Linked DNA regions of Caenorhabditis elegans. The protein of the gene in region 4 interacts with the protein of the main gene of each other region in a pairwise test. Each region holds a gene or a part of one and is shown on either strand. Other genes may lie near its edges. The genes, in order: sdz-12, lin-11, zfh-2 and rbr-2.

Region 1 (4,050 bases), on a different chromosome or scaffold from region 4:
ACATTTGGTGTTCCGTATGTGATTGCTCAGAGATTTCTGAGAATGTAATTACTTGAACTGTTGCACCTTGCGCAATTCCTGAAAAAAAATGGATCCTTTATTAATTAATTTGTGAAAATTTTACAGTACCTGAGAATAAACTGGCACAAGAGCTTGAGCTTCAGGCAGGTCCATTGATAAGAGAGTAGAGGTGAAGGAATAAATGAACCCGCGCAGAGTGTTTTGGTGGGGCGCAATTATCGATTTGGCGCGCGGTATTGGCAGAGAGCAAATGGGAAGGAGAGTGAAGAAGATGTAGATAGAAAAAGAAACTATGCGTAGTTTGATCTACCAGTCCTGTATTCTGAAGACCAACTAATTGTTTGATTACTCCATAAAATCAGTGATCACGATAGAATAGGGTACTGTAGGTTACCGTAGTTATCAACAATTATCAGTTTCCTTCAAGGGCGAGAACGAGATTCATTGAGTACTTTTAACAAGAAAAAATATTAATTAAGCAGTAGAATCTTATCAATTAAGTTCCTATGCCACCAAAATCATGACTCGCAGTGATGATGTGCATGGTGAACACGATCTTATTTCCACATTCTGCTCCACAAATTGCACATTTGAATGGGCTTCCTGGCGCGTGAAGGGCGTTATGCATGATGCTCATTGTGGCATCGTGGAACTTGATCGTGCAGTGCTTGCATTCCTGAAGAGCTTTTGAGTTGATGAAAGTGTACTTTGAAACTTAAGAACTTACAAAGCTTGGGGTTGGCTCACTGGTAATTAGATTTCTAAACCTTGGCTCATTGGGGCTTAGAGTTGGTGAGAGCTGTTGATCAGTGTTTGGAAGAGTTGCCTGAAAATTTCAAGTCTAATGGTTTCAAAGAACGGCACCAAAACCAATATTGAAAATGAAAACATACCGAGTTCTGTTCACAGAATTCTTCGATCATCGGGGAAGTTCCTAGATTTATGCTCAATTTTTGAGGCGGCTTCTCTTGTGGCGAGATTGCCAACTGAGCTCTGGGACTTCCTGAAGTTGATACGGTGATAGGTGACAGTCTGGCGGAGCTTGTGGGAGCAGGAGCCGAAGAGCGCAGAGCCTGAAAGGATTGTTAAGTCTTAAAGAATTATAAAGCTTTTCACCTCTTTATGATCAAAATGGTAGTGTACCAGGAGATGCCTAGGACTCCCGAATAACTTGTGGCATTTTCCACACGGAGCCGATTCGCTGTATGAAAAGTGGTGATGGTTTACGAGATGATTTTCAACGCCCTCATAGAATACGAACTGCATTGAACAGTTCAACACGGGACAGTCGAAATGTGATCTTTCCTTGAGATGGTTGTGCAGGTGCCTTTGAAGCTGAAAATTACAAATTGCTGGAATTGAACAGGAAAAATGGAATAAAATCTGCTTGCCTGATCTTCCCTGAAGAATGTTCTCTGGCAAGTGCTGCACTTCTTGGATTTTGAACCAGAGTGAGTTATTTGATGACGCTTCAAGTTTGGCTTGTTGGTGAATTGTTTCTCACAATTTTCACATCTGAATTTGTGATTGACCTGAAAAAACGTATAGTTGGAGGAGGAGAAGCTCAGTGGCTTAAACATTTTCTCAAAAACTCACCACATTGGAACGTCCAGGCCTACACGTAATGTGCTTCATGTGCGTTCTCAGCGTTTTCTGAAAAATGGTAGTGAGCTCTATATACTAACTAGCAAAAAAAGGAAGATTATCTGCTGTACAGTAAATTTTGTAAAATTAAGATAAATTAACAACACTTTTTTGCTCACTTCAAAAACTAACCTGATTCGCGAACTTTCTTTTGCAAACTTGACACTGGGGCACCTTAGCAGAATCCTGATCCAAAGTGGAAGAGGTTGCAATAAGCGACAATACGGCGTCTAGTGATGACAAACTCATTTTCACAGAAGAAATCTCTGCGGATTGTCCGAGGGCAGGGAGGAAGGGGAGTGAGAAATGTTTTTGCGTAGTTGCAAAAAGAGGTACATAAGTTCAAAGACTGTGTCCTCGAAAGCTGTGAGAAGTTGCGTCACATATGACGTTGGGGCTTTTGGAGAAGCGGGGCCGACGAATTTATGAAATGTGTGTAATTGCACATTGTAGAGCTGATTGAGTTTTTCAGTATCTCAGTTTTTTCAGTAATTTCTCCATTGACGATGCACCTTCTTTGGGGGGAATATTGTAATCTTTAACAAAATTCACAACATTTTTGGAAGACCAGCTGCCAACTGTGCCAAATTTGCCGGGAAACGAGACGCTGCATTATGCATTATTTTATCGATCCACTAAGATTATCTCCTAGCGTTATTCACTCATAATCTGCCTCTACAAGTCTTCCTATTCGTCATTTTTCTGCAATTTAGTAGGTTAGTAGACATGCTCGTTATAACAAAGGAATTTGTGTCAACTTACACTATTAAAGCAATCTCCAACTTCAAGCCGGATACCACTTATTGCAGCGAGGTTAAAGAATATTACTATATTCCATGGTATTTTTAACTTTCCTTTTTTTATTTAAATTTTTATATTTCCAGGAAACTCCATGTCAATCGAAGAACTGATCAACTTGAGGTGTATCTTAGTTGCGACCAACTTGGCACAATTTGGTCAGTTCAGGCGAATGTTGAAGTGAAGCTTAGATCTCCCAATGAATCTCCCCACTGCAAAACAGCCACTGTAAATTTCAATAGTGAGAAGCCGAAGGAAAACTCATGGGGATGGAAGCAGTTTGCCGATTGGGAGAAAGTCGCAAAAAACTTTGTGATTGAAGATGCGCTACACTTTAAAGTTCATGTTCAAATATTGAACGCTTCTGGGTTCAAGGGAAGAGATCCGGTTTTGAAGTTCGACAATGAGTCTATGGGAGAGCTGTCCGATGTGGTTTTGGTAGTGGATGAGCAGAGATTTCATGTTCTGAGAAAGCATCTCGCTCTGCAGTGCTCCTACTTCAAATCCTTGTTCTTTGGCAGTTTCGGCGAGTCGAAGAAATCAGAGGTTACCCTCTCTGGGATAGACCCGGAAGCCTTCCAGGCATTTTTGGAAGTTCTCTATTTGGAGGACTCGATTGATGGTTAGTTTTTAGTGCTCACATTGGTAATAATTTAAAAATTTCAGACAATACCGTCGAAGGAATCCTTCAACTTGCTGACATGTACGATTCTAGAGCGGTTATTGGGAAATGCGAGAAATTTCTTTACAAGGAGTCCGAGAAGTCCGGGAAAAAGAAATTGGAATTGGCAATTAGATACAAGTTGGAGAAACTAGAGGTAAGTGCGTGCACCTGAATATAACCTTATTTTATCTTCCAGATTCACTGCTGCAACACCATCAAAACCATCCAAGATGTCCGCTCAATTATCGCTGGAAACATTGATGAAATGAGCCCATTCCTGATGAAGCGGGTCTTGAAGCGAGTTCTTGAAGTTTAAAAATTGTTCGTTTTCAAATATGAATTGCATTTTTCTAATAACTGATTTTTGGCCACTATTTTTTCTCTGTTTTCAATTGTAAAGTTTTATTTGCCAGTACAAAAAATAAATTTACGTTTTCTTTATATTATATTGATGAGAAAATTTGAAGACTTACAGAAGAAATTCAAATCATGAACCAGACCAAACCAGAAAAAGTCAAGTCAAGAATTCAAGAAACTTTTATCTAGCATTTCATAAAGTATTTTGATAAGACATATACATAGTTATATTTTGTGGAGTTTAAAAATATAGTTTTGAAAAGTGAAGTTCAAAAACATAGAAAAATAAGAAGTTAGAGGTTTCGAAAATAAGCTTAATTCGAAAGACTCGAAAAAAATCTCAAAAACTGGAAAAAATTGAAGATTTCAATCGTCGGACGGTGTTTGACAGTAACTCGTCGTCGTCGTCGTAAATAGAAGTAGTGTTGATTAGAAAAAACGATGGAATAAAGAAATCAGAACCTCCAAATAGAAAAAGTTCCATGAATGTTTTTAATTCGATAGGCACGCATGCCATGAACATCAGATTCCTCGGCTGAATTAGGCATTAGTAGCTCTGGGCTAGA
Region 2 (7,789 bases), on a different chromosome or scaffold from region 4:
CCTCATCATCGTTGAACCGCCTTTAATCCAGCTTAACCTAGTACATATTGTGCAGAAAATCGACTTTTTGCCATTGGAACACCTGCTTCTAACGCCCTACCCTCGTGTTTTCATCTGTTTTTCACGCTACCGTGATAATTGGTGTTGCGTAATATTTGAGAACGAGAAGAAGCGATTAAGTGGACTCACCATTCGGGAACATATCTACAATATCGTCACGGCGTGGTCTTCGGGATTGACGATATCCTCCAAAACGAAGTTGTTTCATTCTTCGTTCCTTGCTTCGGCGGTTTTGAAACCACACCTGTAAAATGGAAATTTATTTGGAAAACAAATTAATGGAGAAAATTATCTATTAAAGGTAAACCCTGTGTCATTTGGAAAAATATATTTTGAGTGAGCCCCACAGAAAAATTATGTTATCTGTAGAAGAGCATTTTGAACTTGAAAAAGCCGATCTGAAATTGTTCATTTTCATTCTCGGAATTTTACCAAAAGTAGATTTATGGAAGATTCTTAAAGATTTTGGAAACTTTGAATTTTTTGAAAAAAATTACTGAATCTTTTATCACCCAAATTCAATTTTTAAAATTTCAGATTGTTTTGAACGATTGAAAAATTTTCGAAAACGCCCGGATTATTTTCCCAAGTCCAGAAATCCAAGAAAAAAAAGAAAAAATAGTCGAATTTTTTTTTCAATCATATGTTTTTATGAAAAAAAGTTCTATTCAGATCGAGTTTTTTCAGTTCCGAATGGTCCTCTGTAGTTGACTACTTTTTCATTTAGAAGTTTAAAAGTGAACTAAAACACTGTACACGAAGATTAAATTTTTGAAAAAAATCAATATAGAGAGCGAACCCTTTTTTAGTTCAGTTATTTCCAAATTTTCGAATCAAAACACTAAAAGTTATGTGTTAGCAGTTTTTTAAGTTTACTATTATGGGGCAACTGTGCAGATAAACAGAATTAAAATTTAATTGATCGGTGGAAGTAGGCTAAAAATATTTCACACAAAAAATTAAGACTACAATTAATTTTGGAATTCCGAATATTCAGGGTTCAAAAATTTGAACAAAAAAACGAATTTTCTGAGTTCAACTCAAATTTCTCATTGCAATTCTCTCCCTTGACCACTCAGATTTTTATCTTCCAAATTGAAATTGTTTCCCATTTTCTCTTTCATCATCATTTTCGTATAGCTCTCTAAACACAACCAATTTCCTATGGCTTTCCGTTAAGTTTCCTGTTATCAGTTATTATGATTATGATCATTATTATTTCTATTGTTACATAAAAATCATGTGATGTGTACATCTTTCTTACAGTAAATAACATGATATTAGTTAGAAACTACAGTATCCACTCACTTTTTTCTCTTTTTCTTCTTTCCGTTTTTCCCTCTCTCTCCTTTCAAGGACTACGGTAATTGAATTTGTGTGTGTGCGTGTGGAAGGATGTGTCCTCCCCCAAGAGAGAGAAGGGCGGGGCAGGTGAATTAAAGCGGGAAATGAGAATTTGTGAGAGATAGTGCATTTCGAGGATACTTAGACATGTGCAAAAAAAGAAAAAAAGAAGAAGAATAGAAACCTGAATGACTCTCATGTTGAGTCCTGTCTCGGCGGCAAGTTGTTCACGGATATGTCGAGTTGGTTTGGGTGTTGCGGCGAACGCGTTTTTTAAGGTTTCAAGCTGAAAATATTTATTGAAGCTTTGGACAGTAATAAGATATTTTTTAAGTGGGGAAATTCAAGATTTTCAGCAGGAAACGCTGGATTCTTTATCAAACATTAATTAGAATTTTAAAATCTGATATCCTCTGTCAGTTTTGCCCAACTTTGGCAGCACAAATCTTGATCAGACTATGTTTTACCAAAAAATTGTCAACTGACAAAATATTTGTTACACTGACCTGGATTTAGAAATTTAATTATTTTTTCAAAAAGTTATTTCAATAATTATGTTTGCACTTTCCTTTCCGACATAGATAATTTTTTCTACTTCAGAAAACTCACTTGTTTTGCTTTAATTGTCGTTCGAGGGCCACGCCTTTTCGCAGAATTCGAGTCATCTGAATTGTCCTTCCCACAATCGCCTTCTCCATCATCGAGTCCGACCTGAAATTTTAATAAGTTAGATTAGATTCACTTTGGTTCTAACAAAACATTTTGACTTGTAAGTTATAGGTTAAATCTTTTCAATATTTTTAGTGTTGAGCCATTTTTGCAATCATTTCAAATGATACCAGCTGTCAAAAGTAGGGAAGTATGCTTCTTTATTAAACTGATTAGAAAAATATTTGTATTTTTTAAAGATTCGTTTACAGCAAACTTTTTAGCCACTACTAGAACTTTCTATTTTAAAAAAAAGTAAAAACTGATCCTAAATGGCAATTCCAGAGAAGTATATATTTCAGACCCACCTCATCACAAGCATCCACATTATCCTCCTCCACATCGGAATTGCATTCGGATCCATTGGATACTGTAACAAAAGAACATCATCTGTCTAATACCAGTGTATGTCCATTCCGCAACGAGATTATCCCCCCTTCCTTACTATTTTGCGGTAATTCGAATACAAAGAAATGTTTTCTGTGTTGACAGCTGTCTGTCTCTTCCTCTTTTGTGCAGAGATACCTATCATCGTAAAACTATTCAAACAACACATGGCTCGCTGGCTCATCTTAAATACGTTTGAAACGGAAGCATGGATTAGAACGTATGTCTCTGGTTTTATGAGAAGAAGAAGAAATTTCTAAGGATTTTATGACTTGAAATCTGGGAATTCTTTTTTGACTTTTTGGGTATCTACTGAAAATTATGTCTGGCGGTGTTACTTCAGAGATAAAGAATTTCATGGTAGGTAGGCATGTGTTCAGGCTCACTTGTCTGCCTCTAGCCTATCTGCCTTCATTCAATTATTGGAGTAGGCCTTGGACGCCTCAGCAGTCAACAATTTTATGAAAACTCCACCTTCTACCATAACTTTGAACAACTTTTGTATTATCTTTAAAACTCAATTCTTCGTCTCTTTCTCTTTCCCTTTCTTTATTTTTAAAAACCTTACCGGGCCTATGAATCGATGTGGGCGTTGATGTTTTGGTTGCTGTTTGAAAATCACTTTGACACACGAATCGATTGCCTTCCATGATATAAAGCTGCAAAATAACACTAAAAATTCCGCGAAAAAAAAACAAAAACAATCGTGGGAACCCCTCGCATATTTTCATGACAGTTGGAGCTGTCTCAAACCTTGACTAGGTCCCCCGTGTAATGCAATTATAAAGTATAATAGGTTAGAGACGGATGGAAAGAAGATGATTGTAGAGTGACAACAGGACACATCCCAAAGGGAATTGGGGAAGGTTTTGAAGCAGGAAGACAGGATGGAAAATGGAAGGAAAATGGCATTGAGATAAGATCTACCGGTTGGTCAGTGGGTAGTTTAACTGATTTGAAATTAATATAAGCAGAAGCAATGAGCAATGAGAAGATAATATGCGCCTCGAGACATTTTGAACGGTTGCTCCAAAATCCTAGTATTCTTGGAAAATTGTTTTAACGTATTGTTTTTCAACTGATAATGAGAAATGTTTAAAGTATGGTGTCCGGCAAATACTTCCGGCAACTATACAACGACAACCAAATTTTTCAAATAAAACAAATTTTAAAAAAATTAAAATATTTGATTGATCTGAAATAAAGTGTTTTTTTTTTGGAAAAGTTCAAAAAATCTGAAAAACTTTAACAGTAGTTTTGATAACTTCCGAAACAGTACTTGAAGTATTTTTCAAACGTTCCATTTAAAATATTTATTCATTATTTTGAAGTCAATCGAATATTTTTTTCTATATTTCTACATTAATTTTTCTTTTTTAAAAAGTAGAATTATTATACCAAAACAAACAGTATGGAAGTTGAGAGGGTTTTTAGATATTCAGCGCGCCTCTAGACAGAAATAGTTTTTGATGTTCCCTATAATGTTTATGATCAAAATTTTAATCAACTATCTGTTTCATCTACATGAGTCAAAACAATACTCAGAACAGCATCAATGACATTCAGTGACATCTTCTATTCAAGAAAACAAAACATTTTGAATGACAAGAAGGCGTGAAGCTTGAGTGGTAGAGAGCTCTCGGTAAGAGGCAGGTGCAACTGACAGGGGCTCATGATGGGGACACATTCAAGAGGTGTGAGCATGTGATTTTTAGGGATCTGCGTATCTTATTTGCAAATGGGCTTATCAGTATAAGTTAGACGTGAGAAAATAGCGACTATGAATATCTAATTTCATCTGAGTCACCGCTCAACTTATAGAAAAACCTTGATAATGGTGGAGACAAGCTTAAAAAGAACTGCCAGTTAAAACGTCAAATATCACTTACCGTCAGCCTTAAATAATATAAAACTTATTTGAAACTTTAGTTCAATTAAGGTACCAGCCTGGATTAATATATAAGATCAAAAGTACAATCAATCTTATATAGAGAAGAGGCTTAGCCTGGCTCACCTGGTCACCAGTGTCCAATAACCTTTGACAAACGGAGCATTGAAAACATCGAATATGAAAAACTTTATCTCTTGCTCGTCTCACCAGATCCTCTTTTTCCAATTTCCCATCGCATCCGGCACACCGTTGACTATATCGCCTGAAAATCACAATCAGGTAGGTAAAATAATTATGGACACCGTGGGAACCGTGGGAAAATTTAGATATAGAATTTGAAATTTGAAAATCAAAATAAGCAAGTAAGATTTGTTTACTACAAGTGAGCTTGAAAGCATAAGAAATTTGAGAATTTTGGAATATGATCTTCAAAACTTTAGAACATGTTTTGGGAGGATTTTGGAATTGCGGAATCTTTAAATTTTATGCCGTCATTTGCTTGAATATATTCTCCTAGCCCTTTTTGGCAAAGTTTTGGAACTACAATATATCCAGGAGTGGGTGACGATTCGCAGTACGATTATTTGAATTGGCATGAAAAAAACCAATTTTTCAATATGAAAAATATGTTGCAAAAGACTGAAAAAAATCTGAGAGACTTACTGAAAATTGACATCTACCAGAAAATAGTTATTACAATTTCATACCAGATTTCAGGACTTTTTTTTATTTTTCAATGAAAATAAACGTAGTTTTCAAATTGATCATGTTTTATATATTTTTACATAAACTTTTGACTAAAAATTTGGAATTTTGAAATTGTCACTGTTGAAGAATCTTAGAGGTTTTCAGCTTCAAAACTTCAGCGTTCAGTTAGAACTTTTAAAGTTTGCACACTGGAAAATTCAATGGAAAATTCATCACAACCTAATTGTAAGATGTTTTTGAACTATCTCCAAGAGCTCAAAACTTGCAGCCCGGCTCTTTATAGATCACAGTTCTTAGAAATTAATGTTGCTCGGAACTTACCTTGAAAAATCAGTTTTACACAGAATAAGACCATCTCTACTAAAACAAGTCATTGACATGGGCGCTCGACAGTCACAACATCGAAGACAAGACTGATGCCAGCATTTTCCGAGCACAGTGAATACATATCTGAAAGTAAGTGAAAGTGTCGGCTGAAAATGAAATGACTGCTAGTGCTGCTGCTGTCGAAGGGGTTGAGAGGGGGAAATGAATCGAAAATGGAAAAATTCAATTAGGGGCGAGAGAGGTGGTGTTACAGCAGCTAGAGATGAAAATTGGAATGAGACTAAACGGAAAATAATCATAAATTGCAAAAAAAGGTGAGGGACCGATACCTGTCAAGAATAGGCTGTGCACACGCGGCACACTCATTTCCACTAATTTCAGAGATGTGCGGCTGAGTCGTTGACGATGGCATCATCCACGTGGCAGAGTCGAGAAGCAGCAACGTGGCAGATGAGGTGACACTGCCGACGTCTTCAATTGACTGCTGATGAAGATGATGAGCAGGAGGCTTCTTCTCCTCTTCTTCCAGTGAGGTGATGATGAACGAAGAAGAAGAATGCATTGAGAAGGGAGTAAAAGGAGGAGGAGAAGAAGAAGAAGAACGACCACGAAGGTTACGGTGGTTGGGGCACCAGGAGGCTGGCTGGTTGATGGGCGGAGTTATTGACACAAGAGAGAGAGAGAGAGAGAGAAAGCCTGAAGAATGAGAGCTATTGAGGGAAAGAGAGAGAGGAAATTACGAATGTTGAAGCCTAGAAGAAAAATAAGAAGAACGAGAGAATAGGGATCGCTTTTGGTTTAAATGCTCATGATAGTTCAAATATTTTTCATTCACCGTATTTTCTGTATTGCACTACGTTTTCTTTCACACCTTATATCTCTGTTATCTTCAGTTATATCAAAAATAGTCAACATGAGAAATAAAGAAAAATATTTTCCAAGTATTTTATCAGTTTACAATTTTGATAAAAACTAAAGACAGCAAAAATATAAGCTTTTAAAGTAGATCAAAAGGGGTGCAAGTCTAATAGGGTAGTTTTTATAACTTCAAGGGGTGGTTTTTAGTAATTTTTGTTTTGATAGTGACATTATTCTACGATCAAGTTTTGCAAATTACGTTTAATTTTTTTCGGATTTTTTCTGGAATTTTTTACCAGAAGAACGATTGTCTAAAATGGGATACCGTATATATTAATTTTGTACCAATCTACAAAACGGCCCACTTTGGTACAATAACGCAACTTTTCAAATGTGGAAATCTAGAAAAATATTTGGTTCATATGAAAACCAAGTCAATTTTATTAAAAATTTCAGAAAAATCGTCAAACTTTTCCTTAAATTTGCCATTTTCCATAAAAATTGTTTGTGATATTTTTTTAGGCAGTCAACATTCAGCCAGTTTTTCAGATTCTTTTCAATCTTCGCAAAAAAGATTGGGGTTATTTTCAAATTAATACAATATTTTTATACATACATTTTAAATTCAAAAAGTTTGATTATCGTTCCGAAATCGGAAGCTTTAAAATGTTTCTTTTAATTTCAATTGAATTTTTAATTGAACACTTTCTGAGCTGTTAAAGTTGTATAATTGAGTGCGCTAAGATTTAATTCGCTACTTTGAAACTTTCCATTTGTTTTCATCGGGGTCATACAACTACAATGATTTTTACTTTTTTGTATTACATGTTATTTTAGGAACAAATATCCTAAATTAGAAGGATTTTTCTCAGTTCAAAACTTCGCAAGCTCTGTAATTCTGTATTCAAATTGTTTTTCAGCACATTGAAAAAAGAATAGCTAGTCCGGTAAAATACAACCAAAACTTATTTAACCCACAGAAGCAATCTCTTGATAAATACCAGTGAATCGACGGATCAGAGGCGCCCCTTGACGCCTCGACCAAATGAAATCTTTAGACACCACCAATTCAAAATTTTAATTCAAAGAGCCGTCAATGGAACAAATAAACACAGTTTCAATCAGGTTTCGAGCAAAAAGTTCTGCTCTTCACCTGTTTGACTTTGGGCATGTTTTCAATATAATACAAACCACATCCAACCGAACAGAATCAGCTGGATAGAAGGACAAACTCATTCGATATGAAATCAAAAGTGTCACGTATACAACTAGAGTAAAAGTGAAATGATTTTCTCATTTTGAACTTGTCATTTCTTGTGTGTCAACTATATCTACGAGTTCAGTGATTGTTATTTTTTCTTCCGGTGAGGTTGTCCTTGGTCTAGTGTCATCCCATTTCGGGCTTGTCACCTCCTACTGAAACAATGCCATTTCGCGCAGAAATTGGAAATAAAACTGAAGGATTACGGTAATAGAAGACGAGCGGAATGAGATGACGGTAGAATG
Region 3 (4,890 bases), on a different chromosome or scaffold from region 4:
TTAGGTTTAGGCTCAGACTACGCGGGGGAAGGGAGAGAAAAATAAATTCCAAAAAATTGAAAATTTATGAAAAACTAAAATAATTCAAGAAAAACTCCCCGCCACGCCTACCGGACCTTAAATTTTTTGCGTGCAAAGACCCTATAATCAATTACGCCTTGCTTGGGCTCCGCCACGAACACTTTCGCGTCAGAACCAAAACCTAGTAATGATTATACTTATTTTAAAGGTCTCAGCGTACTGAATTCAAAATTTTCACTACAATTTTGAGCTTTCTAGGGATATATTGAAATGTTCAAATTTTTGAATTTTTTTTTCAAAAATTGTAGAAAAAAGGCTTTAAAATACGAAAACTGTTAGCCTTGGCAAAGCAAATATTACTCATTACGCTATTAAATCATGAATTTATGTGTATATGCAAATCGGTGCGCATACACACACAGACACACAAAAATGGGAAAAGGGCGACACAATAAAAATAAGAAGATGATGAGAGGGGAATACAAAACTCACAATTTGAACCTTTTGCAGATGCTTATCCGTCCTTGTGTGTAGTTGAAAATTGGCTTTCAATGTGGTATTATACGGGCACAAGTGGCACCGGAAGCTCCCGTTTAGGACGGTAACGTCTCCTTGGAACGTCCTGGAACGGTCTTGTTCCACGTGTTCCATCATTTCGGCGATAGATTCGGTGGCGAAGATACCGCAGATCAAGCAGACCAGGGATCCGTCGGACTCTTCGATTGGACTACTTCGGCTAACTGGAGCACCACACGCGAAGTTGGCTGCGAATTCTGGAAAATTCAGGATATTTTTGAATTAAAATAATAAAAATCTTAAATCTGAATTCAGCTTAAGGCCTTTCAAATAAGTATAATCATGACCCATTTGGGTCCCACCACGAAAACACGGGATTCTGGTCTTCCTCATGTTTTAAAACAAAAATTGAGCCGCGACACGCAACGCGCCGTAAATCTACCCCAGATATGGCCGGCCTAGTTCGGCAAAAACTCTTCCATTTCAATTTATGAGAGAAGCCAGAAAACTACAGTACCCTCTCCCCCATTTTCGTGCCGAGACCCGGGAAATTTGGGTCTCGACGCGATTTTTATTGATTTCGATCTAAACTCAATTTTCTCAGTCTTTTCAAAATAAAACCAATTTATTAAAAAAATCAGAAAAGTTAGGGGCTTTAATCCAAATATAATCACGTCCATTTTTGGACAAGTGGGTCCCACCACGAAAACTACAGTACCCTTTGAGTGTAAGACCCACAGAACGTCAAATTAAAAAAATACTGTAAAATCGAATTTAGCTCACTGAGAACTCTAATTTGAGTATCATTTTTTAGGGTTCAAAAAAGTTGGCGTAAGTGTTTTTGCGTGGCGAGACCCTAGAATCGAAAAGTTCGAGTTCAACAGTTAAATTCTTGTGAAATTCAAATTCTTGGGTCCCACCACGAAAACTACAGTACCCTTCGCCTCCCCCCCCCACCTACCTATACTATTCGGGAGCTCTTGCACTGCATGAAGATGCTTATCACTTTGCATATGAATACTCAAATTGCCCTTTGTCGTCGTACTGTACCGACACAAATCGCATCGATATGGCTTATAACCGCACGAGTACGTCTCACCGCGAGCCAGCTTCGGGTGGGGACGGTTCTCGGCACAAAACATGCACTTGACATCCACATCGTTGTGCTTCTCCTTCATATGAATTTCAAGGGTCTCCTGGTACTTGTAGTGCCAATTACACTTTGGACATTTCAGCGTTTTCGACGAATTTCGGAGTGATGAGAATTGGGAAATGTCGGCGAACGCGCCGAGCGTCGGATCGAACGGAAACGAGGAGGAGAGGCTCGCCTCGTCGAAGCCTGACGCGGCGAGAATCCGTCCCAGCTGACATTTTGTGTTTTCGTTGGCTGAAATTTTTCGGGAAATTGCGGAAAAAATTTGATCTATGACCTACCAAACATCTGAGCCGTCGAAGGATCCGTAAGAAGTCGCATTATCTCCGCAGAATCTGGCATCATTGGTGGTGATGTTTCTGAAAGAGAGAACTTTAGTTTTTTAGTCCTATGGAATGTGGTTCTTCCGCCGCGGCTGACACTTTTCGGGCTCCACGCGCGGCACTATACACGGGGTTCTGGCCTTCCTTATTGAATTTTTCGCGCTCCATTGGCAATCGCCCGCCGGTCAACGCGTGGGCAAGTCGTGCACTCCACACGGACAAATACATTTAGTTTTACAACTAAAATCGAGCCCAGATGTGACCGAGCCAAGATGGCCTAGTTCGGCAAAAACTCTTCCATTTCAATTTATGAGGGAAGACAGAAGGCCGTGACTATACAGAAGGCGCGCCGCGAGTTAGGCGGAGGTCGCCGCAAAACTGGAGCAGCAGGCGTTTTGGAGGCCCTAGGCGCGCGCGGAACCCTGTACATGTCGGACCATGGTATCAGTTTCGCTATCTCTAGTGCACATTTAAAGCACATATGTACCTCCATCTTGAGAAAGAAATTTCATCTTGCAAGGAATCGAACCCCGGACCTATTGTTTAGAGCTGAAGCGTGTTAACCACTAGACTACAAGCGGCGCGACATGATTCTGGCGGTACTGTAAATTAAATACCACGACAATGCAAATGCGCTCTAGCGACGAACTCTAGTTTCAGAAAGCCAGGAGGTTCAAGGTACACGTGGTGTCAGAGTATGATCTACGTAGATCTACAAAAAAATGCGGGAGAAAAGATTTAAAAACTTGCTTATGTCACATTTTTTGGGGAAAAAATCCCGCATTTTCTGTAGATCAAAAAGCAATGGGACAACCTGGCACCACGTGAAGGTAACGTACCTTTGAAAATGATTTAAAAAAAAAGAAGTCTTGGCCTAAAAATTATCGGTCCCCCGGCCAAACTCACCCCTACTCTCCGTAGACTCTGAACTTGTCGGCGGTTTGTTGTTGTCATCCATTGTCAAAAGTGCCACGTCCATTCTACCATTTAGCCAATATATGGGCGGGGCAACTCTGGAAATTTTTTTGGATGAATTTGTGAGGAAAAAGTGAAAAAAAAATTTAAAAAACGCGAAAGTTGGAAAAGTGGAAAGTTTGAGAGTGATTTAAAATCTAATGAGTCGCAAATGAGAGAGAGAGAATCGGGGCGGGGGGGGAAGCGCGGAGCTCGCCCCACCACCACCACATGTGCTTGCAATTAATTAAATTTTCGAGGGAGCGGGGAGCCCAGGAGAGCCATCCCCGGAAGCTAAACTTCATAAACTTCAAATGAGCACTGAGAGTTGAGTTGACACCTGTGTTGTGAATGAATGTGAGGAGAGGTATTCGGGGGATAGTTACAACAACAATTACACAACACTGACAGGGGACTACGGTAACCATATGGAGGAGCTGGAGGAGCACACAAAACTTGAGACAATGTTCCCCGCATATGTTAGGGGGGTGCCGACACTCTCAGAAAAAAAAAACGGGGGACACTTTGTTTCTAATGGTGTTTCGCGTTTATTGGGTGATCATTGTGGAGATTCACACCTGCAGTTCTGACTACTGATTCATAAGATCACGGGAGCGGAAGCAGCAGCAGCGCAAGGGGTGTAAGAAAAATCATAACTTTGGGGTATGAAAATGGGATAAAGGAAACGGCAACGACAATTGTAGAACGAAAGTCGGAGGCCTAGGCAGGCGTGGCCTCAGGGCCTGATGCCTGCATTTTGGCATGAACTTACAAAATTTTGTAATTTCCGTATTTTTATCAATTTGATGAAAAACATTTTAAGAGATAAGGCTCGGATTGAGGCGAGAGGCAGGCGGAGGTCGCCTTAAAGTCAGGCAGGCAGGCAGAGAACGTCTGAAAGTCAAGCAGGCAGGCGAAAGTCGCCTGAAGGTCAGGCAGGCAAGCGTTTTAACGCCTACTTAAAAACCCTATTCAAGAGCTAGTTTATGAAAACTTTCTTCAAAACTCAAGTTTTACAAATTTTCTGAACATTTTTGAAACGAAAAATGGTTTGAATTTTTTAAAGCTGATTCTGTATGATCTACGTTTTGAGAAAAAAAATTTAATTTTTTCGGATTATTTTTTGAATATTATTTTAAATTTTATAGCAACTCTAAAAATTCGATATTTTTACAGATTTTCAGAAAAAATAGTAATTGCAAAAATTTTTAAGCTTTTTAAAAATGGCTTAGGCTTAGGCTTAGGCTTAGGCTGAGACTCAGGCTTAGTCTTAGGCTTAGGCTTGAACTCAGTCTTAGTCTTAGGCTTAGGCTTAAGCTTAGGTCTCAGCTTCGGCCCAGGCTTAGGCCTAGGCTTTGGCTTAGGCGTAGGCTTAGGCTTGGCGTCAGTGGGGGAGCGTGAGCTCCCACACTGACGCTATTTAGGGTTATTAGGCTTAGGCTCAGGCTTAGGCTTAGATAAACAAACATTTTTTTAAAATAAAAATTTAAAAATATTTCACTGAAAAACTGTTCAAAAAAGTTAAAGAAAAACGTTTTTTATCTGAAAAATTTTTTTAGGCTTAAAACAACTTTTTTGACTAATGTCTATTTTTTTTTGATTATATTTACAAAAAAAATATGGCTGAGCTCAAATTTTTAGGTCTGCAAAAAAAAGGATCCCCAGAAAAAGTGAGAATGAAGCGTGAGAGGAGCAATAAAATGGGCGGGGCGCCACACGAAGAGCACCCTCGTTATAACTGGCTGATTAGGCATTTGAGAAGAGGAAAGTTGAGGGAAGATGATGGGTGTGGAAAAAGTGAGGCGTGGCCTATTTTATACATTGGTGAATCTGATTATTCGGAAGGGGCAGCGCACGACGAAGAAATTTCGACGCGCAAATTTTGAGCAAATAAGAAGTAGGAGAAGAGGGGGCCCCGAGAGA
Region 4 (7,543 bases):
AAAATTGAACAAATATGGTAGCCGGTCTCGACACGGCAATTTTTTTTACTTGCAAAAAAGTTGTGTGCCTTTAAAGAGTAAATAAAAACGCGGAAGTTTTTAAAATTTTTTAAAGTTTTACGACAATGAAATCCCACAGAAACGAGAGTTGGTAACTACAGTATACTTTTTGAAGGCGCACACCCGTTTGTGTTTCACAAAAATTGTCGTGTCGAGACCGGGTACCGTATTTTTGGCACAAAGTTTTTTTTTGAGATCAGGTCTGTCACAAAACAAAGGTTCGTTTTTTTTTCTCCTTACAATTAAATTTTTTTTCCAAAAAACCACAAAACCCGATCTTAATTTACCTCTCAGAGTGAATCCAAGACAAATCACATGGAACCAGTTTTTGCAGCCTGCTTCACACATCACCCAGTTCACTGAGTCTCCATATGGCTTCAAACAGGCGCGAGCTTGACACGACTTGAATTCAGACTCGTCTTCGTAATATTCACTGGGTGATGCTTGACTTTGACGTTTGCGTGATTTTTTCGACGTCTCTTTGTGTGAAACACTTGGCCTTTTGCGTTTAGCTGTGATTTTTGGATCGAAGAGTGATACCGATGGTTTTGAACGAACCGGGCGATTTTTGAGTTCTAGTGCGGCGCTGAAAAAATTAAAAATAAAATTAATACATATAATGTGTACAAACCTTGACTGTTTTTGAAGATATTCCATATAAAATTCTGAAATCAGCTCGCGTGCCTTCGGAAGACCATTGGGATTCAGAATTTCACACGATAGCCAATCGAATAAGGCAATTTTACAAATATCGTCGCTGGATTCTCCTGATTTCCGTTTATTAGCAGCTTCCATCAAATTTTGAGTGATTCCACGAGTTTTTTGTATTAGATTTCGAACAAGATGTGTTTCCAAACATCCAGAAGGTGTTCCATTCAGAGCAGTTGTTACATCATCAATGACTGGACGTTGTCCCCGTAGACATCGAACACATAAAAAGCATCCTTCTGGAAGTTTTTCAAGGAACGGTGACCACTCGCAACATCGAACATGAAACTCTGAATCGCACATTATGCATGTCAGTGTTGATTCGGAATCATCTGATTTGTTGAATCCAAGACATGAGCATGCTTCAAGACCACGAGCTGAATTTGCTTGTTTCACCTTTTCAAAAATTCTCATTTGCATTTCACGTAGCGATGATTGATGATGCACAATTTGATCTAATGACTCGAATTCTTTCATTTGATGCCATTCATCAGATGGATGTACTGCGCCTCCTTGAAAATATAATGGTATCGTTTGTCCTTCAGCAAGTGGAGTTAAATCATCGCGTTCGGAGAGAATCTGGAAAATTCAAGTTTAAGGCAAATTAGATCGAAGCTAATGTCTATGCTACTTCCTGATTGGATTAATGTTACCCAAATATACGGTCACCGGTCTCGACACGAAATTTTTTCGTTTAATTTAAAAAGGTGCGCGCCTTTAAAGATACTGTAATTTCAAATTTTTGGTTCTGCGAAATTTTCCTTGATTTTTCTTTTTTTTTCTTAGTATTTGTCTCATGTTTTTAATTATTTCAACATAGTTTTTTATTAAATAAATAAATTTATAACGAAAACTATGAAAAATCTATGAAAATTCCGCAGTAACGAAATTATGAAGCTACAGTAATCTTTAAAGGCGCACATTCGTTTGTATTTAACTAAAATTGTCGTGTCGAGACCGGGTACCGTATTTTTTGCGAAAAATCGTCAAATTTCACGAATCTCACTCACTTCAAAAAGATTGTGATACGCATTATTTGGCTTGAACAGAATAGCTATCCTCTGAGTAAATGCATTCATTGTGCTGATCATATCCAAAATCCCGAGATGCTCTTCGGAACCGTTTAGACATTTTGAAGTTTCGAATGCTTTACTGATTTCGGCCGCCTTCGATAGTGTAATTTCAACATTGACAATTTTCTGCAGTTGTGTTTTTAAATCAAATTCTGATAGCACGGGAATTGCGGCATCTATCATTGACTTGATTTTGGCAACATGAATGATCTCATAGCGAACCATGTTAATATCTTAAAAATTATTTTGTAAGAATTACTAATGCATTAAATAACAAACATTTTTCATAGAACCAATCAGTTTCTCTAAGGCTTTGCCAAATTGATTGAAGCTGATCAAGTGCTGGATTCTCACAGAAATTGTTTGCAATGACCTCGAGTGTATTGGCGTCACGGAGCATTTGTTGAAGTTCAAAGACGAGTTTAGAAGTACCATCTGTGGGATTTCGTGGACTATCACGAATCAATCTGAAACATATAATTGAATTTTTGAATTAAAGGGGTATAGAGTATTTGGAAATATTTTTAAGGTCTCATCATGAAATTCGGTCGTTTTGGGCCGAGCCCATTCGAGGAAAAATCCACAAACACAAATTTCCTTTTAAGAGAAAAAATATTTTTAAAATCTTACGATAAAATATCACTGGATGCATATCGAAGCTTATACTCAAAATCAATATCTTTCTCCATATCGGGAGTTGCCTTCCATGTAGTAACTTTTCTTGCTCTATCCGACCAATCCTTCATTTGAATAACTTTTCGCAACTCATCGATTTCTTCCAATTTAATATCATATTCATCTCCCTCTTCAATAATCTTCTCGATTTCTTCTTTTGAGTATTCTTGTTCTCGATAGATAGCATCTTTTGCTCTGTTTCTCCACATTTCAACTTGTTCCATCCATTTCTCAAGTTTATCAATAATAACAGTCAAATTGCAATCCATGGCTTGCATTTGTTCAATCAATGACCGTACTCCCTCGGTGTCTGTACGAGTGTCGGCTCTCTGACATCGGGTTTTTGTTCGCGTTCGTACTTTCTTAAAGAGCAATTGATTTGCTTTTTCAATGGCACTCTTGGCTGTATGACGAATTGTTATCAATTTATGAACTTGATCTGTCTGTGGATACTTGTTTTGTTTGGCAGAATCTATAAACTCTTCAATTCTCTCGAGTTTTGGTTTTCCTTCTTCTTCAAGCATCTCATCCGACTCTTCTTTCCATCCATTGTAGTTAACCGTACGCTTTCCAAGTTCATCACACATATTGTTCAATTGATCCAACTCGAATCTGTACTGATATCTGTAGTCTTTCGTTGTACACGAATTGCAAAGATGATCATGATGTTCAACACAAGTCATTTTCTTGTGTTTGTTACAAACCAATGCACACATGAAGAGAGTCGTCTTACAAAAACGACACGATCTTTGTTCATCTGGAATCTTTTCGAACATCACTTGCTGCATTTGGCGATTGGAAACTCCGAGGCGAGCGAGAAGTTCTCTCAACATTTTTTGTTTTTCATATATTCTTATCAGTTCTTCATGTGTTGCTAAACTCATCGAAATTCCAAGTTTATCCATTGCTTCAACCATTTTAAAGAGAAGCTCATCATGAGAAAATACAAGATATCTTCGTACATTTGAGTAAGACTCAACGCATTCTCGACCTTTTGATAGCCAATCAATTGGAGCGAAATTGACAGCTTCCGCAAAGTTGAGTCCCTCATTGAAACCAGCATGATAAGCACGTGGGAATGTAATGACGAATTCACCAGCATTCTGGTGAACTGAATGAATTGGAACTCCCAATGAACGAAGAAGATGAGGATTTGCAGCTGTAGTCATATGATGGAATAGATCTCTTTGTCTTCCAGTTAATCCAGGTGCTATTTTCTTCAATGCATCTTCAAACTTTTCAGCATCTTCTCCACCAACACCGTACCAAATTTTCCGTTCTCCAAAATGATTATAGTTAACAGAATACGTCCAATGATCTTCGGTGTGCCAGCAGAACGTCGAGAAGCACATACCAACATAGACCCACGGTACCATCATTCCAGAAATTCCAGTATTAAAATGTGAGAGAACAGATTCTCGAAGTACAGGCATATTGTTCAGATTCCATGCATGTGAAGCGTATTGCTGCTTCAGCTTCAGATCTGGGCCAGTGTGCTTATCTTCTTTTCGAGGAAATCCACTTCCTACTCGACTCGTAATCAAGTCGGCACCGTATTTGACAGAAACTGGATTTTCGTGTGAAATTACATTCTTCCAGAATGATCGTTCCACAGCATCACACGACACTTGTGATACATCTTTTACACCGAAATAATCACATTTCCATTTGTTGGCAAATTCAGTGAATGAGTTCAGATTGTATTCTGTGTCCGCATCATAAAATCCCCAGTCTAATCCGATTTTTGCATCCTCTGATTCAATGCACTTTGGACATCTCCACTCGCCTTCTGGTACTTCATCGAGTACTGGATCACAACAATATGTATGACGACCATTATTGCATCCATCAATATCGCAAAGAAGTAGTAGATCTTCATCCTTTCCTTCATTACAAGCAACGCAGAATACTTGATCCATTGGATCTTCATCATCATCATCGTCTCCTTCGGCTTTCTTCTTATTTTCTGTAATTTGTGAAAATAAATTTAAAAAATTTAAATTTAAAAAACGAACTTCTTCCTCTGGTTGAATTCTTCTTTGAAGATGTTCCAAGAGTCTTTCTTGAAGATGAAGCCTTCTTATTTTTAGATCTCCGTCGACCACTTTGCATCGACACTGGACACTCATCTTCCCCTCCTTCAGTAGTTTTATCATTTGGAACTTCTATTTCTGTCCGCATAGTTCCGTGGTGATGTTGATATCTATGAAATTCATTCGTTTTTAATTAGAATAATGGGGGAAATTATTAATAACAAAATTAAAAATTTTACTATTTATCGGTTTTAACATTTTTTCATGGTTCTAAAAAACAAAAACATGGGTACATAAGAAAAATTTAAAATGCATATAATTTCAAAAAAATCCATCTACATTATGTTTTCTTAACTGATTTGTAGATTTTTATTTATTTAAATTTCTTAATTACTCACTTATGCTTTAATTCTTCCATTTCATCATCACTTTCATCATCATTTTTCATCGCTTTTTCTTTCAAATTTCGATTAAATGGTTCAATGTGCAAATTATAATGTGATCGAATCAAATTTATGAAAGCCGACGGAACACCGCGAGCCATTTGCTCCTTTGGAAGGTATTCGCGGGCAACGTCTCTCCATTTTTCATCTTCATTCACTTCTTCACATCCTCCAAAGTTTTGAACTATACGATGTAATCGATACAAATCGACAATATTTCCATCTCGATCCACTGGAAACTCAAAAGTTAGACCAGAATATCGATTGAAATTGATTAATCGGTCAATAAATGTGTGTTTCTCTTTGACAATTGCCTCCACTTCATTCAGTTTTTGAGTTCGGGGACGAAATGTAAAGGCTTCTTTGTCGATAGCAAACGGTGGTTTGAAATTCTGCAAAAAAAGAGAGTTGATGCTTCTCGATTCGTTTTTTGAGGGAAAAATCAAAAATTTTCAGATAAAATTGCACTTTTCAAGTGGTGACCATTCTTTTAGTAAACTGAAAATTTTCTAATATTTAGTATTTAATTGAAGGGAGTAGTAGAAGTTTTTAAACTACTACAAACATTGTTTCGCTTTTTTTCAGACTTTTCAAAAACGATTAAAAACTTGTTAAACGTCAGACGTACAATTTTCCGAATAAATAACTTACCGCCGGCGGAACAATTTTAACAACTCCAAATTTTTCGGCCTCGTGTCGTATTTTGGCAACATACTCGATTGGATCTGAGAACTCTTCTTCTGTCGGGTAGTAAATTGGAGCCATTGGAGGTCGTACGAATTTCTGAAAACTATGAAAGCTTATTCACCTTATGTATGTCTTAGTAATCAAACCTTATAGAATTGATCGTACATTTCCATTTTGCTTCCATGATTCTTAGATCTTGAATTTCCGATGGATGCTTTCTTCCGCGGAGAAGTGCTCGTCGACGGTGCTGACGGCGTCGAGATACTGTTCTCTTGACGACGTGCACGCATTTTTCAGTTTGGCTTATAGCTTCATGAGATCTGTAAATTTCATTTTTGTTTGACTTTAATATTAATTGAAATTAAAAGCTTTGAGAAGAAGAACATTTTAAGTACCGACGAGAAATTTCCATGTGATGAAACAAGATGCATCACGAGTGTTATGATAGACGTCATAGAAACCCGGAAATGAAAATTAGCTTATACTCCTTTAAAATTGGCTTTTAAGCTTTTTCTTATTAAGCTTTTGATTTGAACTTAATATTGTATAAATAATTAAGCTGAAAAATGACTCATATTTAAATATATATATTTCTCCAATTTTTGAGGTCGAGCAGCTTTTCAAAGTTTAGACAAGGATCTTTGGTAGAGTTTTAAATGTAGGTCAAGACACGTAAGGCATCGTATAGTAACTCAAATCATTGAAAACTCCATCTCTCTGAATCTTTTTGATGTGTCACCTAAAATGCATTGAGAGACTGGTATTCTTTGACCACTTTGCAGTAGGTCGGTGTCCTTTTCGTCAGAAATTGCGTGCGGTAAAGATAAGCGGAGAAACAGAAAAAAATATAGATAAAATCGAAAAACCGAGAGGAAATAGCCCCCAGCGCCCACCAGGGTCGGCCCACGAAAATCGAGGAAAGTGCGCTCCGCCGAACATTACTCTCGAGTGTCCACTCTCGTCGTCTTGTCACTCCTCTGTTTGCATGCTATTCGCTAGCAATAATCTCTCGGTCTCCTGCCCAATCACACTTTATTCATGTTATGTGCGCGACGCGTTCTCGCATGTGCCTCCTAGTAATACGTGAATTTTTGCACTAACTTTTTTTTGAGGCCAGCAGCTGAGGAAAGATGGGCGCACACAAAGAAAACGAAGAGAAAGCAGGAAGACGCATGTAAAATGAACACAGACTGAGAGAAAAAGAGAACATGGAATTATGGCTCCGAGAGCCAGCATTTTTAATTGAAGATTTGAGACTGTGTTTGTTTACTACGGTTTTAAAGGGAGGCGTATCAATGCGGAATGGTCTCGCCACGCACTGCGAACTCATGAAAAAATTGGCGTGTGCGCCTTTAAGATGACTGTAGAGATTTTTCTGGCATGTCTAATTACATAAAATACAGAAAATTGGGAAAAGAACAATCGAAAATGAAGAAAAGGGAGAAACGAGAAAATTGGAGATTTGCCAGCAAACCCTCTACAGTAATCTTAAAGGCGCACATACCAGATTTCTGAAAAAAAAATCGCAGAGCGTGGCGAGACCATTCCGCATAAACTCGCCACTTTAAAATCATAGAAGTTGTAAAAAGTACACAGTAATATGTAGAAACTGATTTCGCCGAATTGTGAATCTCCATAGTTTCTAAGGAATGTGAATATTATTTTTCAAAACTAAATCAAACTCATTAAAAAGTTATTATGCGCCCGTTTTGAAATAAACGATGGTTGCGCGCGAGAGAATGAGAAGACATAGATTATAACTGCAAAAGCAGAATCAGCTGTCTGCGTGTGAAGAAGCTGATTAAAAACGAAAGGGCGAAAAAGACTTGTTTCACACGACTACACACATTCTTACGACAAATAG

What was found.
Region 1: the proteins of rbr-2 (region 4) and sdz-12 interact in a two-hybrid assay, tested with the Caenorhabditis elegans proteins (one large-scale study listed by BioGRID).
Region 2: the proteins of rbr-2 (region 4) and lin-11 interact in a two-hybrid assay, tested with the Caenorhabditis elegans proteins (one large-scale study listed by BioGRID).
Region 3: the proteins of rbr-2 (region 4) and zfh-2 interact in a two-hybrid assay, tested with the Caenorhabditis elegans proteins (one large-scale study listed by BioGRID).

The regions. Positions count from the first base shown.
Region 1 is NC_003280.10:3,729,635-3,733,684, forward strand, and holds sdz-12 (Zinc finger protein sdz-12), read right to left. Parts: upstream 2,190-4,050; 5' UTR 1,915-2,189; coding exon 1,798-1,914; intron 1,675-1,797; coding exon 1,618-1,674; intron 1,554-1,617; coding exon 1,413-1,553; intron 1,357-1,412; coding exon 1,138-1,356; intron 1,095-1,137; coding exon 915-1,094; intron 848-914; coding exon 749-847; intron 698-748; coding exon 518-697; downstream 1-517. Other genes in the region: bath-31 (BTB domain-containing protein), read left to right, coding at 2,392-2,504, 2,550-3,085, 3,130-3,281, 3,324-3,443. UniProt on the Caenorhabditis elegans protein: Together with ehn-3, may play a role in gonadogenesis.
Region 2 is NC_003279.8:10,246,537-10,254,325, reverse strand, and holds the start of lin-11 (Protein lin-11), read right to left. Parts: upstream 6,035-7,789; 5' UTR 5,988-6,034; coding exon 5,755-5,987; intron 5,549-5,754; coding exon 5,420-5,548; intron 4,653-5,419; coding exon 4,514-4,652; intron 3,159-4,513; coding exon 3,068-3,158; intron 2,483-3,067; coding exon 2,421-2,482; intron 2,116-2,420; coding exon 2,014-2,115; intron 1,691-2,013; coding exon 1,589-1,690; intron 305-1,588; coding exon 190-304; intron 1-189. UniProt on the Caenorhabditis elegans protein: Probable transcription factor which is required for asymmetric division of vulval blast cells. Involved in olfactory plasticity probably by regulating the expression of transcription factor mbr-1 in RIF neurons.
Region 3 is NC_003279.8:801,504-806,393, reverse strand, and holds the start of zfh-2 (Zinc Finger and Homeobox), read right to left. Parts: upstream 3,027-4,890; 5' UTR 2,993-3,026; coding exon 2,920-2,992; intron 2,595-2,919; exon of another isoform or gene 2,522-2,594; intron 2,050-2,521; coding exon 1,972-2,049; intron 1,925-1,971; coding exon 1,499-1,924; intron 795-1,498; coding exon 514-794; intron 1-513.
Region 4 is NC_003282.8:10,918,533-10,926,075, reverse strand, and holds the start of rbr-2 (Lysine-specific demethylase rbr-2), read right to left. Parts: upstream 6,007-7,543; 5' UTR 5,970-6,006; coding exon 5,826-5,969; intron 5,783-5,825; coding exon of another isoform or gene 5,776-5,782; coding exon 5,644-5,775; intron 5,385-5,643; coding exon 4,948-5,384; intron 4,720-4,947; coding exon 4,532-4,719; intron 4,483-4,531; coding exon 2,472-4,482; intron 2,309-2,471; coding exon 2,121-2,308; intron 2,075-2,120; coding exon 1,779-2,074; intron 1,348-1,778; coding exon 692-1,347; intron 647-691; coding exon 348-646; intron 1-347. UniProt on the Caenorhabditis elegans protein: Histone demethylase that specifically demethylates 'Lys-4' of histone H3, thereby playing a central role in histone code. Does not demethylate histone H3 'Lys-9', H3 'Lys-27', H3 'Lys-36', H3 'Lys-79' or H4 'Lys-20'.